Drosophila melanogaster: one gene and its partner. Changing the gene in region 1 together with any one later gene gives a genetic interaction. Each region holds a gene or a part of one and is shown on either strand. Other genes may lie near its edges.

Evidence for each region. A genetic interaction does not mean that the proteins touch.
Region 2: of Klp61F (region 1) and tau, changing one enhances a phenotype caused by changing the other (phenotypic enhancement), as found in Drosophila melanogaster (one study listed by BioGRID).

Annotation. Positions count from the first base shown.
Region 1 is NT_037436.4:1,241,066-1,247,914, forward strand, and holds Klp61F (Kinesin-like protein at 61F), read right to left. Parts: upstream 4,846-6,849; 5' UTR 4,576-4,845; coding exon 4,496-4,575; intron 4,430-4,495; coding exon 4,129-4,429; intron 3,936-4,128; coding exon 2,603-3,935; intron 2,538-2,602; coding exon 1,327-2,537; intron 1,263-1,326; coding exon 1,011-1,262; intron 961-1,010; exon of another isoform or gene 927-960; coding exon 903-926; 3' UTR 503-902; downstream 1-502. Other genes in the region: galene, read left to right, coding at 1-156, 212-417; CG32318 (uncharacterized protein), read right to left, coding at 5,008-5,422, 5,489-5,568; Psf1 (partner of Sld five 1), read right to left, coding at 6,001-6,609. UniProt on the Drosophila melanogaster protein: Important role in mitotic dividing cells. Microtubule motor required for spindle body separation.
Region 2 is NT_033777.3:27,647,720-27,652,305, forward strand, and holds the start of tau (tau), read right to left. Parts: upstream 3,036-4,586; 5' UTR 2,974-3,035; intron 2,184-2,973; 5' UTR 2,084-2,183; intron 1,989-2,083; 5' UTR 1,343-1,988; coding exon 31-1,342; intron 1-30.

The DNA.
Region 1 (6,849 bases):
GAGATCTGCTGCCCAAGGATCGACCTGTCCCCATTTGGTTATGCGTCTTTCTGGTAGTGAGCTACATCCTTGGCGGAGCTGTTCTTTTTGCGTACTGGGAGAACTGGTCCTTCTTGGATTCCGCCTACTTTTGCTTCATTACACTGACAACAATCGGTTTGTGTTTATCCCAATTCCTTGCGCACTCTTTTCATCTGCTTTTGCATTACAGGATTTGGTGACTTTGTCCCCGCGAAAGGAGTCAAGGACGAGTCGGAGCAGTCCATCGCCTATTGCTCGCTGTACCTTCTTTTCGGCATTGCCTTGTTGGCCATGAGTTTTAACCTGGTCCAGGAGGAGTTCATTGCCAATGTGAAGGAGGTAGCCCGCCGTCTGGGCATTCTTAAGGATGATGACGACGAGCAGGATGAGGATTAGTAATAGATAGATAGATAGTTATGACATCTGTTTTTTCCTAAATATGTTGGATGCTCTAATTATAAGGAACACACTTTGAAAGATGGATATTTAATATGTTTAAATGTTTTATGAAAAAAAACTTCAACAAATTTAAATTCACAAACGAGAATATGATAAGTAAAATAGTTAAGATTATATTAATTATAAAGCGCTTCCTTGGAAGGCATGACATCATTAAAAAACCAAATTCACTTCTTCCCTAAAAAATAGTATCGAAGTTTAAGAATACCTTCTGATATATCTTAAACCTGCACTTGAACTAAAGATTTCCTTAACTTTACATAGCATACTGAGTTTATTTAAATAATAAATGTACGAAATTCCAAAGATTGATATACAGATAAAATGAATATCCAGAAGAGCCAAACAAACACAGCGATCCGAAATCCACTAACATAAACGGGTTACTGGGAAGGGGAGACTACTACTGTCATCGAATGCAATCAGGCTACGTTTTCTTTGTTGTGCTAAAAATATTGAAAATAAAAGCAATGATAATATATCCCCACCCTTTATTTGTTAAGTCATTAGCGGACTTGCACTTGACTTACCCTGACGAAGGCGGGAGAACCTCGAGGTGACGTTTTACTGGGTGTCAGGGAACGTGACAACGAGCTGCTGCGTTTTCCACCAGTAGCTACGGGTGGCTTTAGGGCGTTCGAATTGGAATTGCGGGTGGTGCCGCACCCACGCTTCACGGTGACACCATCCACGGGCTCAATGGGCGTGGAGTTCATTATGGTTTCAGTTTCGGACAGCTCCTGGACGGAATGCATGGAGACGTCATGCTCACCCTCGCTGCACTACGGATTGGAAACATAAAAGTTGGTGCTTTTCAACATACAAGGTTGAAGGATTTTAGGTTACCTCATCTATAGTGGCCGTGGTGTCCAGATCTGACCAGTCCAGCTCTTGGCGATAGCGCCTCACAATTTCCTGATGTGGCGACGTGGCCACGAGGGTGCGCGGATAAACGAAATCCCTTTTGGAGGGCGTGGTCCCAGTTGGGGCGTACGTTTTCAACTCCGACTGTTGGAAGCGTACAAGCTCTTGCTCGCAAATTTGCAGCTGCTGCCGTTGGTGTTCAGCATGCTCCGAGAACTGCCGGTTCGACTCTTGGACAAGATCAGTGGCTACAGTGGCATGGCCTATGAATCGCTGTCTGTCCTCGGTGATAAGCTGCTGCCTTGCATCCACCATCTGTTCCAAGTTAACTTCGGTTTTCTCCTGCACCGCCTCAAGCTGCTGCTTGCTCTCTTGGCAAATAATTTCCACCTGATTGTGGTGCACTCGAACGGAACCAACATTCTCATTTGTTTCCTTTTCGTATTTCTGGTTGAGATTCTTCATGTGCACCTGAAGCATCGAACAGTTGGCAACGCCTTGGTCCAGACAAAGCATTCCCGCCTCCATTTGGCTGGTGAGCTCCGCTTGTGCGGATTGGGAAGCTTCTATGCCCAACTTTTGGTAGTCTTGGATACCAGACTTAATATCATCGATGCGATGATTTCTCGTCAGTCGACTCTCCTCCATCTTATTAAGATGTACGGACATGCTGATGCTATTTTTGGACCGCAAGTTCTTGATCTGTTCCATCTGCATCATCATGGACTCAAGGAGAGCATCCTCCTGCTGCGCCAGAGCTCGTTCATTCGCCAACTCCTCTTGAAGATTCTGCAGTTCCTCCGCATCTGGCAAACTCATTGCCCCGAGCTGCTCCAACTTCTTGTGCATTTGCTTCGCATGTTCTTCCACAGACTGTAAGCTGCTGTCAATTATGGTGGCGAACTTTTCCTGCATAGAGTCCAGCATGGCTTTGTGCCGCTGGTTGTTTTCCTCGATCACCTGCAGGTTAGTCTGAATTTCTTTGCTCATCAAAAGCTGTTGCTGCTGCATCTGCTCCATCAGCTTGGCGACAAATGCCTGAGAGTGCTGATCGCTGATCTTCATGACTTCTCCTATTAACTTATTATGGAGGTTGGTCTGATCCTGTAGCGATTGGGCACACATCTCCTTAAGCATTTCGATGCTTTTGCTGGAATTTAGTGCAAGGCGTTGGCTCACATAGCTCGAGTTTACTGGAGATTTATAAAATTTTACTTATGTACAATAATATACAAATTGATTTCTGTAGATAGCTTACCCATTTCCTGGCTTAGCTGCTCCTTGAGGGCTGCCTGCTGATCCTGATACAAGTTCAGGCTGCCACCGATCATTTCCAAATTATCCTGCATACGATCTTTGAACTGATCGCAAGATCGGCGAATCTTCTCATCCAACTCACGCCTTCTTTCGATGGTTCCGTGCAGCTGATGAGTATCATCAGTGGCCAGATCAGCAGCGGCTAGGATCTCCTGAGCCTGTGTGGTCAAAACCTGCTCCGTTTTCATATGCGAGGCCACCAACTCCTTTTTTTCCTTGTATCGTCGCTTGGTCTTGGTCAGCACTTTCTTGGTCAGGAGCAAAGTACCCTTCGTGTTCAGTAGGTTCTCCTCGGTCTTTTTCAGCTCCTGCGTTTTCTCCACAAGACTCATGCTCACCTCACTGAAGATCTTCTCCTTGTTCTGGAGTTCGTCCTTCAAAGCCTTGAGCAGCAGCATTTTCTCGTTAAGCTCGCGGTTCTGGGATTCTAACTTCAAAGTTATCTCCCCGTAGGTTTCCTCGGCCAAATAGATGCCATTCTTGTCCCTGGCCGCCATAAGATCTCTTTTAAGCTTGTCGATTTCTTCGGTGTATTCCTTGAGCACAGTCTTTTTGGTCAGCTTCTGATTGACTTCGGGCTTGTTTTGAATGTTCTTGGCGCGATGAGCGTACTCTAAAGTGCTCAGGGTCTCCTCGATGTCCTTGTGGCCCGGCGATATGGTGGCTATGATGGAGGTCTTGGTCCTGCCACCCAGAGATTCTTGCAGCAGTCTAGTCAGCTTTGATTCACGATATGGAACGTGAGGAGCGCGATCGACCAAAGCGGTAATTACTCTACCGAGAGTCAAGAGGCTCTGATTGATGTTTACTGTTTCCCGCACACGTATTCCCTTTTCATTCCCAGCCTTGGAAACATTTTCACTGCCCGCCAGATCCACCAGATTCAGTTTACCGATTTTCAGCATGTCCTCTCCTTCGATGCCATTCTCCCTGATGTGCACAACTATAGAAAATACAGTGTGGGAGCGTGAGGACTGTGCATTCATCAGCGTAGTGGCTGTTTTGCGACGCTCCTTTCCCTTCTCCAGCAGCTTGTACACATCATCCTTGCTGTGCACTGGTATCTCCTCCAGGCCCTGGATAATCACCGATCCCTTCTTGGTGCTGTCATCGAAAATGCGTATCTTGGTGGTGTCATCGGTGGACAGTAGATCGCACAGCTCCTCATTGTACAGTTCCAAGTAGGAAATGCGCATAGTGTACTCCACCTCCATCATGCGCAGCTCATCGAAAAGGTGACTCAGAGCGCGCGGTATGATGCCAATGTCAGAGTCCTAAGCGGGAAGACAAATTGGAAAAGGTTAGATTAGCGATTCTTAGAAAAGAAAAACTGGTTTCGATGGCCTTGAGCCAGATGGCTAAGAATGGCAAAGACCTTTTTTGTTTGGTTAAACTGCGAAAGTGAGAATGTAGGGCCCTACGCTGATATGGTTGATATGGTTTTGATTTGAATTTTTGTTCACTCACATCTTCCCAGGAGGATTTCAGTTCGGCAGTCTCGTTGCCCACCATGGTGTGGGTCTTCCCTGTGCCCGTCTGGCCATAAGCAAACACCGTGCAGTTATAGCCATTGAGGACCTCCTCGATCAGCGGAGACACCACGACGGAGTAGACATCGCACTGCTTGGACTCGGGGCCAAAACTGCGGTCAAAGGTGAACTTCTTGGTGAGCTTGGAGTCCAGCGTGTGGCGGGTGACCACTTCCCGTGGTCCGACCACATCCACGACTTCGGCCGAGCGGATGCAACGTTCCCGAGAATTAAGGGGTCTACAAAAGATATAGAAGATATATGTAGATCTTTTTAAGGGGTTTTGGTTACATATACAAACTCACCTGACGCGCACATACACCTGGATGTTTTGGTTGGACTTCTTTTGGGGCTGGCGCGACGTATTCCCACCAGATATGTCCATATTGATCAATTGAAACAATTAATTGTGGTTTTAGCGCGTACAGTCCAAAAAATGACGCCTGTCGCGTGTATCGGTATGCGTGTGTGTGTGTGTTTGATTCCTGGAAATCCTTGTGCTTCACCTTCCACCGAGCCGAATGCTGATAACTGTAACTACTATTTACAGAAGGCTGGCGTGGAAAACCAATTTTCGCACTATTTCCAATGAGAACAGAGAGAAGCAGCGTCTTCAGTTGTCCGTTCAATTTTAAAATAATGCGCAAATAGTGTGACCGCAACACGGCACCCTGAAAATACCAACATCGAAAAATACAAGTATTGGAAAACTACAGAATGTTCAAATTATTTGAATTAAATAATTTTTTATCTTTTATTTGTTCTACATTAAACCATTAAATATGTATAGTAAACTCTTATTATCAAATAATCCCGACTAGGCTATGTGGTGAAGAATGCCCTGCCTCACGAGAGACTCCACCTGAGCTCGGGGCAGATAGTGCTGGCTGTTCTTCTTCAGGTGGATCACCTCGCCGTCGTCCAGCTCGAACTTCCCATAGTCCTCCATGCAGCGCACCTCGATGTAAAGTGACTTGGGCGGACGCAGATTGTTGCCCGTCTGGCCATAAGCAAACACCGTGCAGTTATAGCCATTGAGGACCTCCTCGATCAGCGGAGACACCACGACGGAGTAGACATCGCACTGCTTGGACTCGGGGCCAAAACTGCGGTCAAAGGTGAACTTCTTGGTGAGCTTGGAGTCCAGCGTGTGGCGGGTGACCACTTCCCGTGGTCCGACCACATCCACGACTTCGGCCGAGCGGATGCAACGTTCCCGAGAATTAAGGGGTCTACAAAAGATATAGAAGATATATGTAGATCTTTTTAAGGGGTTTTGGTTACATATACAAACTCACCTGACGCGCACATACACCTGGATGTTTTGGTTGGACTTCTTTTGGGGCTGGCGCGACGTATTCCCACCAGATATGTCCATATTGATCAATTGAAACAATTAATTGTGGTTTTAGCGCGTACAGTCCAAAAAATGACGCCTGTCGCGTGTATCGGTATGCGTGTGTGTGTGTGTTTGATTCCTGGAAATCCTTGTGCTTCACCTTCCACCGAGCCGAATGCTGATAACTGTAACTACTATTTACAGAAGGCTGGCGTGGAAAACCAATTTTCGCACTATTTCCAATGAGAACAGAGAGAAGCAGCGTCTTCAGTTGTCCGTTCAATTTTAAAATAATGCGCAAATAGTGTGACCGCAACACGGCACCCTGAAAATACCAACATCGAAAAATACAAGTATTGGAAAACTACAGAATGTTCAAATTATTTGAATTAAATAATTTTTTATCTTTTATTTGTTCTACATTAAACCATTAAATATGTATAGTAAACTCTTATTATCAAATAATCCCGACTAGGCTATGTGGTGAAGAATGCCCTGCCTCACGAGAGACTCCACCTGAGCTCGGGGCAGATAGTGCTGGCTGTTCTTCTTCAGGTGGATCACCTCGCCGTCGTCCAGCTCGAACTTCCCATAGTCCTCCATGCAGCGCACCTCGATGTAAAGTGACTTGGGCGGACGCAGATTGTTGGTTAGATCAATGGGCAAGCCCTGGTTGTAGCCCGCACTGCACATGTAGGCAGCCAGGGACTTGGAGTAGTTGTTGAAGAAGGTGACCTCCGGTTCGCAGAGTGCCTGCTTGATGTCCCCGGGGATAATGGGTCCAAACTCCCACCTGAGGGCCTTGATCCTCCTGCACCGCTCGTATAGGTAGGCCAGCAGGCACCTCTTGTTCCTCTGGAGAGCTGCGTGCCTGAAGTTGAGCAGGGGCCACAGACTGCGATCCCCGGAAGCATTGTAGCTGGAGGCCTGGGCCACGTTCTCCTCGAATATCGCCTTGATCTCCTCCAGCACCTGGCGCACCCCATCGTCGTCGAAGGCGGGAATTGTCTGCGACGATCTCTCCAGTTCTTTTAGCAGGTCGAAGGCTTTCTCGCCGAACATTTTTGTTTGTCGGCTCATTGTTGATCCTCTCTGTTTTTCTTTGGTTTGGGGATCTAGTGATGGATTCGCGCCAAAATGTTCGTCGACTTGTGGTATCGATACTTGGTATTTCTTTTGGTATATTTCAAAAAATAACAAAAATTTCATCCTCAGTAGCCATGTTCCTTTAAAATAGATTTGAAACGGTGATTTATCAAAATTTAGCTTACGAGGCCCAAATTATGCCGTCCTAAGAGGAAATGCCATCCTGGTTAGATT
Region 2 (4,586 bases), on another chromosome or scaffold:
TGGTTTATCGCTTATCGATCTGAGTCTTACTGAAGCCGGGCCCCTTTTTGGATTCTCCGGCTGGGGGGCTCGTCTGGAAGGGCGGCTCGATGTCCTCCAGTAGGGGCTCGCCCATTGGATCGGGCCTCGAATTGAAGGTCTTGAGCGGGGTCACCGCGGGACCCATGACCACGTCGTCGTCGTCATCGTTGTTGTTGTGTGCACTGGCTGCCGAAAGTGGGCGTAGTTGCTGCTGCTGTTGCATGTGTTGCTGCTGCTGTTGCTGCTGCTGCTGCTGCTGCAGCTGTTGTGGTGGTTGTTGCTGTTGCGGTTGCATGGGCGGCTGGTTGAAAGGCGGTCGATTGAAGGGTGCCTGCAGCGGCTGTCCCGGCGGCGGGCGTGCAAAAGTAGGTGGCGGCGGTCGCGTCATATTCTGGGGCGGACGTGCTCCGGGTGGCATTCCCGGTGCCCCGGCTGGATTCCAAGGAAATCCGCCTGGTGGCCTTGGTGGTCCCTGGCCCGGCGGGCTAAGCTGTCCGCCGGCATTGGGCAGACGAGCCTGCTGCATATTGAGTTGCGGTGGCATGCCCGGTCGCATCGGTGGACCCATTAGCAGGTTGCTCTTGCTGTCTGTGCTGCGCAGCGGTGGTGGCCTGGCCGCCATGTTCGGCGGCATGGGTGGTCGTGGTCCCATTCCGACCATAGGTCGGGCTCCGGCGAACGGAGGACGCGGCTGTGGTGGCCCCACGGCGGGACGCATCTGCGGTGGCAAGACAAAGTTCTGTGGTGGTCGCACATACTCGGTATTGGGTATACTTTGGAGCTTGGGATTGGGTGAGGAGAGGGTGGGCCGCGAGTTGGTGCGTGACAGGGTGGTGCGATCTTTAGGTGGTGCATTATAGCCGGTGGTGTAGTCTAGTGTGGTTGGTGGCGGACGTTGCTGACGTTCATATGCAGAGTAATCGGTAGCTGGCTGGGATCTCTGTGGCTGCAGTTGACTGCGGTCATCTCTAGGTGCCTCATAGGCATTGTTCTGATACTCTGGATTCTGCTGAGATCGTATCTGCTGTTTGGAAACTGAATCTGAGCCGTAGGAGGCACTATCCGAAGTGGTGTTGCTATTGGTATAATCTGTGCTTAACTGAGCACTTGGCTGTTCTTTCTTTCGTTCCACAGATGAATCGGAGGACTCAAAAGGCACATAATCCTGCGTGGGTTGTGGTCTCGACTGCTGCTGAGGACGATCTACAGATGCGGAATTCATGACATACTCTGACTTGGACTGAGCGCGCTGCTGCTGCACTGGGTAATCCTGTGGAGAAATAATCTCCTGGCCGGAGCGATCCTTTCCCGTGCCGTACATCCTAGCGAAGGACTAGAACTTCTCGCCTGCGGTGTCGGTGCAGAAATGTGCAAGTGTCTGGTAACCCAATATGTGGCGGAGCCACTTTTTGGTGGCCAATGCCATCGATATACACCCACATGCTCCGCTGCCCCGGCAAACTGGCCCATATCATTTGCATATGTATGGCCATATATCGTTGTGGGCTTACTTTTACTTCTGCCAACTGTGGGGTTGCCAAAGTGCCAATGGTGGAGCTAAAGCTCGTGTATCGGAACAGACGTACGTATCAATATAGTTCACATTGAGTGGGTGCTTTCAAATTTGATGGCTCTTTCTGCATTTGTTTACATTTTATTGTTTTGGTATTCACTACTTGGCTACTTGGCTATATGGCTATAAGGATATTTGGGTATTTGGCGTTCGGGCGTTCGGTCTTTGGTTACCATTAGGGAATTTTGTCATGAAATCCGGTTGCCAGCTGTAACGTGACCCAAATTGTTTTTGTGGCTTATTGATTCAACAAAAGTTTTGGCAGTTCTAAGGCCCAAATCGACGGGCCACAAGAAATCGCTGTTTGATTTGTTTCGCAAAAGGGTTCCTTCCACTGACAATGATGTATGTGCAAGGTCGGCGGAATAATACATCCATTAACCTGGATCATTCCCTATGCAAATTATGCTCGTAAATCATTTGTGCATGGGCGAATCGGTGTGCGCTAAGTGCAGCTCCAAAATATATATGAATTCAAGCAAAACTCACCGCATCGGTATCACTCATATCTGAGTGGGTTACTACTGTTCGAATTCGGATCGGGGACTATGTCTATATAGACTGGTTCTCGGCACTGCCTGGCAATTAACTTAATGCGGAGAAAAAACCGAAAACTTTTGCATTAAGTTCCAGTGCTTTTTTTTTTTTTTTGGTGTGTGTTACATTTGACGGGCGAATCGATAAAATTGCACAGGACGACGAGGGATTCTTTAAACTGGAGGAGCTATGACCTCAGCACGTGCCACATCCGACTGCCAACTAAAGAGGCAACTGCAACTTGTGCCGACTCAGAGTCGGAATCGCCAACTTCCTGGCAGTAGCAAAAAAAAAAATATATATATATATAATAGTACAAAATAAAGAAGGCCTGGCAGAAACAGCAACTGCAAATTAGGGCTACAATGATTTGTGATTTATTCGCGGCTGACATAAACCGAAATTCCACACAATGTTCATGTCAACCGCACAACAACGTTCAACTCAACTGTCATTTGTGGCCAAATGGTCTTGGCCAAATTGATTATCAGCCAAGTGGAATGGGGTTGGTAAGTCAACAGTTGCACAGGTGCAAGCACAAAAGTTTCCTAAGCCCGTGGCTTGCATTTCAATTAGATTCACCCTCGGTGAAATATGGTTAACAAAACTTGGTCCTTTGGCAATTGAATTCTGGCGCCACTGCAGTAGCGATTTTTATCACACAGTCCAAAGACTATCAATTGTAGTTGCAGTTGCAGTTGGCCATAAAACAAAACAAGCGCCATGCAATGCAATTGTATCGATTTTCCTGGCCAGGGGGCAATAACTTGGCCACGTACAGCCTGAGAAGGCTAATGCACTTTGCACTTTGGCTTGAACACGGGAATGAAGGTGCAATTTACCTAGGCGTAAGTAACCACACACTTCTACTGTGACAAAATCGCGTAATAATATAATATGTTTTATATTTTCTTATATTTTTTTTTTATATATTTTTGTTTTCTATTTAATTGAAATATTCTGGTGGAGCTACGACGCCAGCTCCCTGCACTGCGTTGTGTTTGGCGCGAGTGTTAAAACTCGACTGCTTTTATTTGCTTTGAAAAATTTCGAATTACAATACTTAGAATTTGTTTTGATACGCCAACTTGGTCTGGCGGAGCGTGGTCGCTCGTAAACTTCTCGGGGCGCATAAACAGAATGTGTCCTTGCGCAGTTCAAAGCGCTGCCAGGATATATTTTTGGTGGAGCAGCCCCTTGTATTCTGGCTATATTCTATTGACATACAAATTTATTAGTGGGGCGCCGGGGAAAAATGCAAATTCAACACGCCAACAATGAGCGAATGGGGAGCCTATAACGCTGATTTTATATGCAGATTTCATTTGACTTGATTAATTTAATGGCCACCGGGGGAGGCATTTCGACGCGCATTTGTGCATTCCCATTCCCAGACCCAATCCTTTGCCCTCGACAATCGGGAGGGTGGCATATATATTTTTGTATCCACATAGAGCCAACTTGCACCGCTTGCCACGCACCTTTCCATTATCCAGGTGTTGTTGTCATAGGTTCCCCTAATTGTTGTCTATTTATTTACAAGCAGGCAGCACGCAAAACTCCGGCGCTCTAATGCGTAGACATAAAAGTAAACCTGGGGAGATCCAAACTGACGTGAGGTTAGCCAAGGATTCAGACTCAGACGTGGAAGGAGCGTAGTCCTGGGCTAATGTCTGCATAGTTCTGTAGCCTAATTTCGATTGCCAAGGTTATGGTTCTTACTCTAGGACTGAATTAGTTTGATTTCCTGACGATTCTTTGTATTTAACATAACCATAATTGAAGCCATTTTAAGTTCTCATTAAGTTCCATAAATCTGAATACAAACCTGGAAGTAAAAGAGAAAATTTTGTTTAATATAAAGCGTTTATTTTTTAATTTATCTATTTTTAAAATTCTATTAAAATTTTACTTTTTATTATATATATTTATTTTAGCGGGTTTTATATTTTTCTACTAAAACAAACGAATTCGCCTGATATTATATCCAATTTGCCGTTAGGTTGCCGTCCAAGCTAATCTAATGCAACAACCCAGCGAAGAGCTAATATCCAAACCAGCACTGCTTGCACGTAACAGCCATGTGAATTCGAAATTAACTAATATAAATATTAACAATAAGTATGCAAGGCTAAGGGCAGATTTTATACTCTCCCAACACAGCTTATGCATTAGAGTTTACCACTTTATTTGAACTTACTAAAATGGAATAATCGATTTGGTAACCATTTTAATTAGTAGAAAATTACTCAAATGTTATGTAAATCAAGTGCATTTAATCGGAAGCGCACGCTAAGCAAGGTCGACTGCTTTTTGTTGACACTTTTCCAAGGGGGGTGGTTTTGCCACCCCCTAATCGCTTTCGTTTTCCTTTCCTTCCGGCATTTGTTTAGCTTTTTTTTTGGGGGGATGCAGCCGGTCGGTGGGTGGTGGGTTTACGTTGTATCTATCGGCA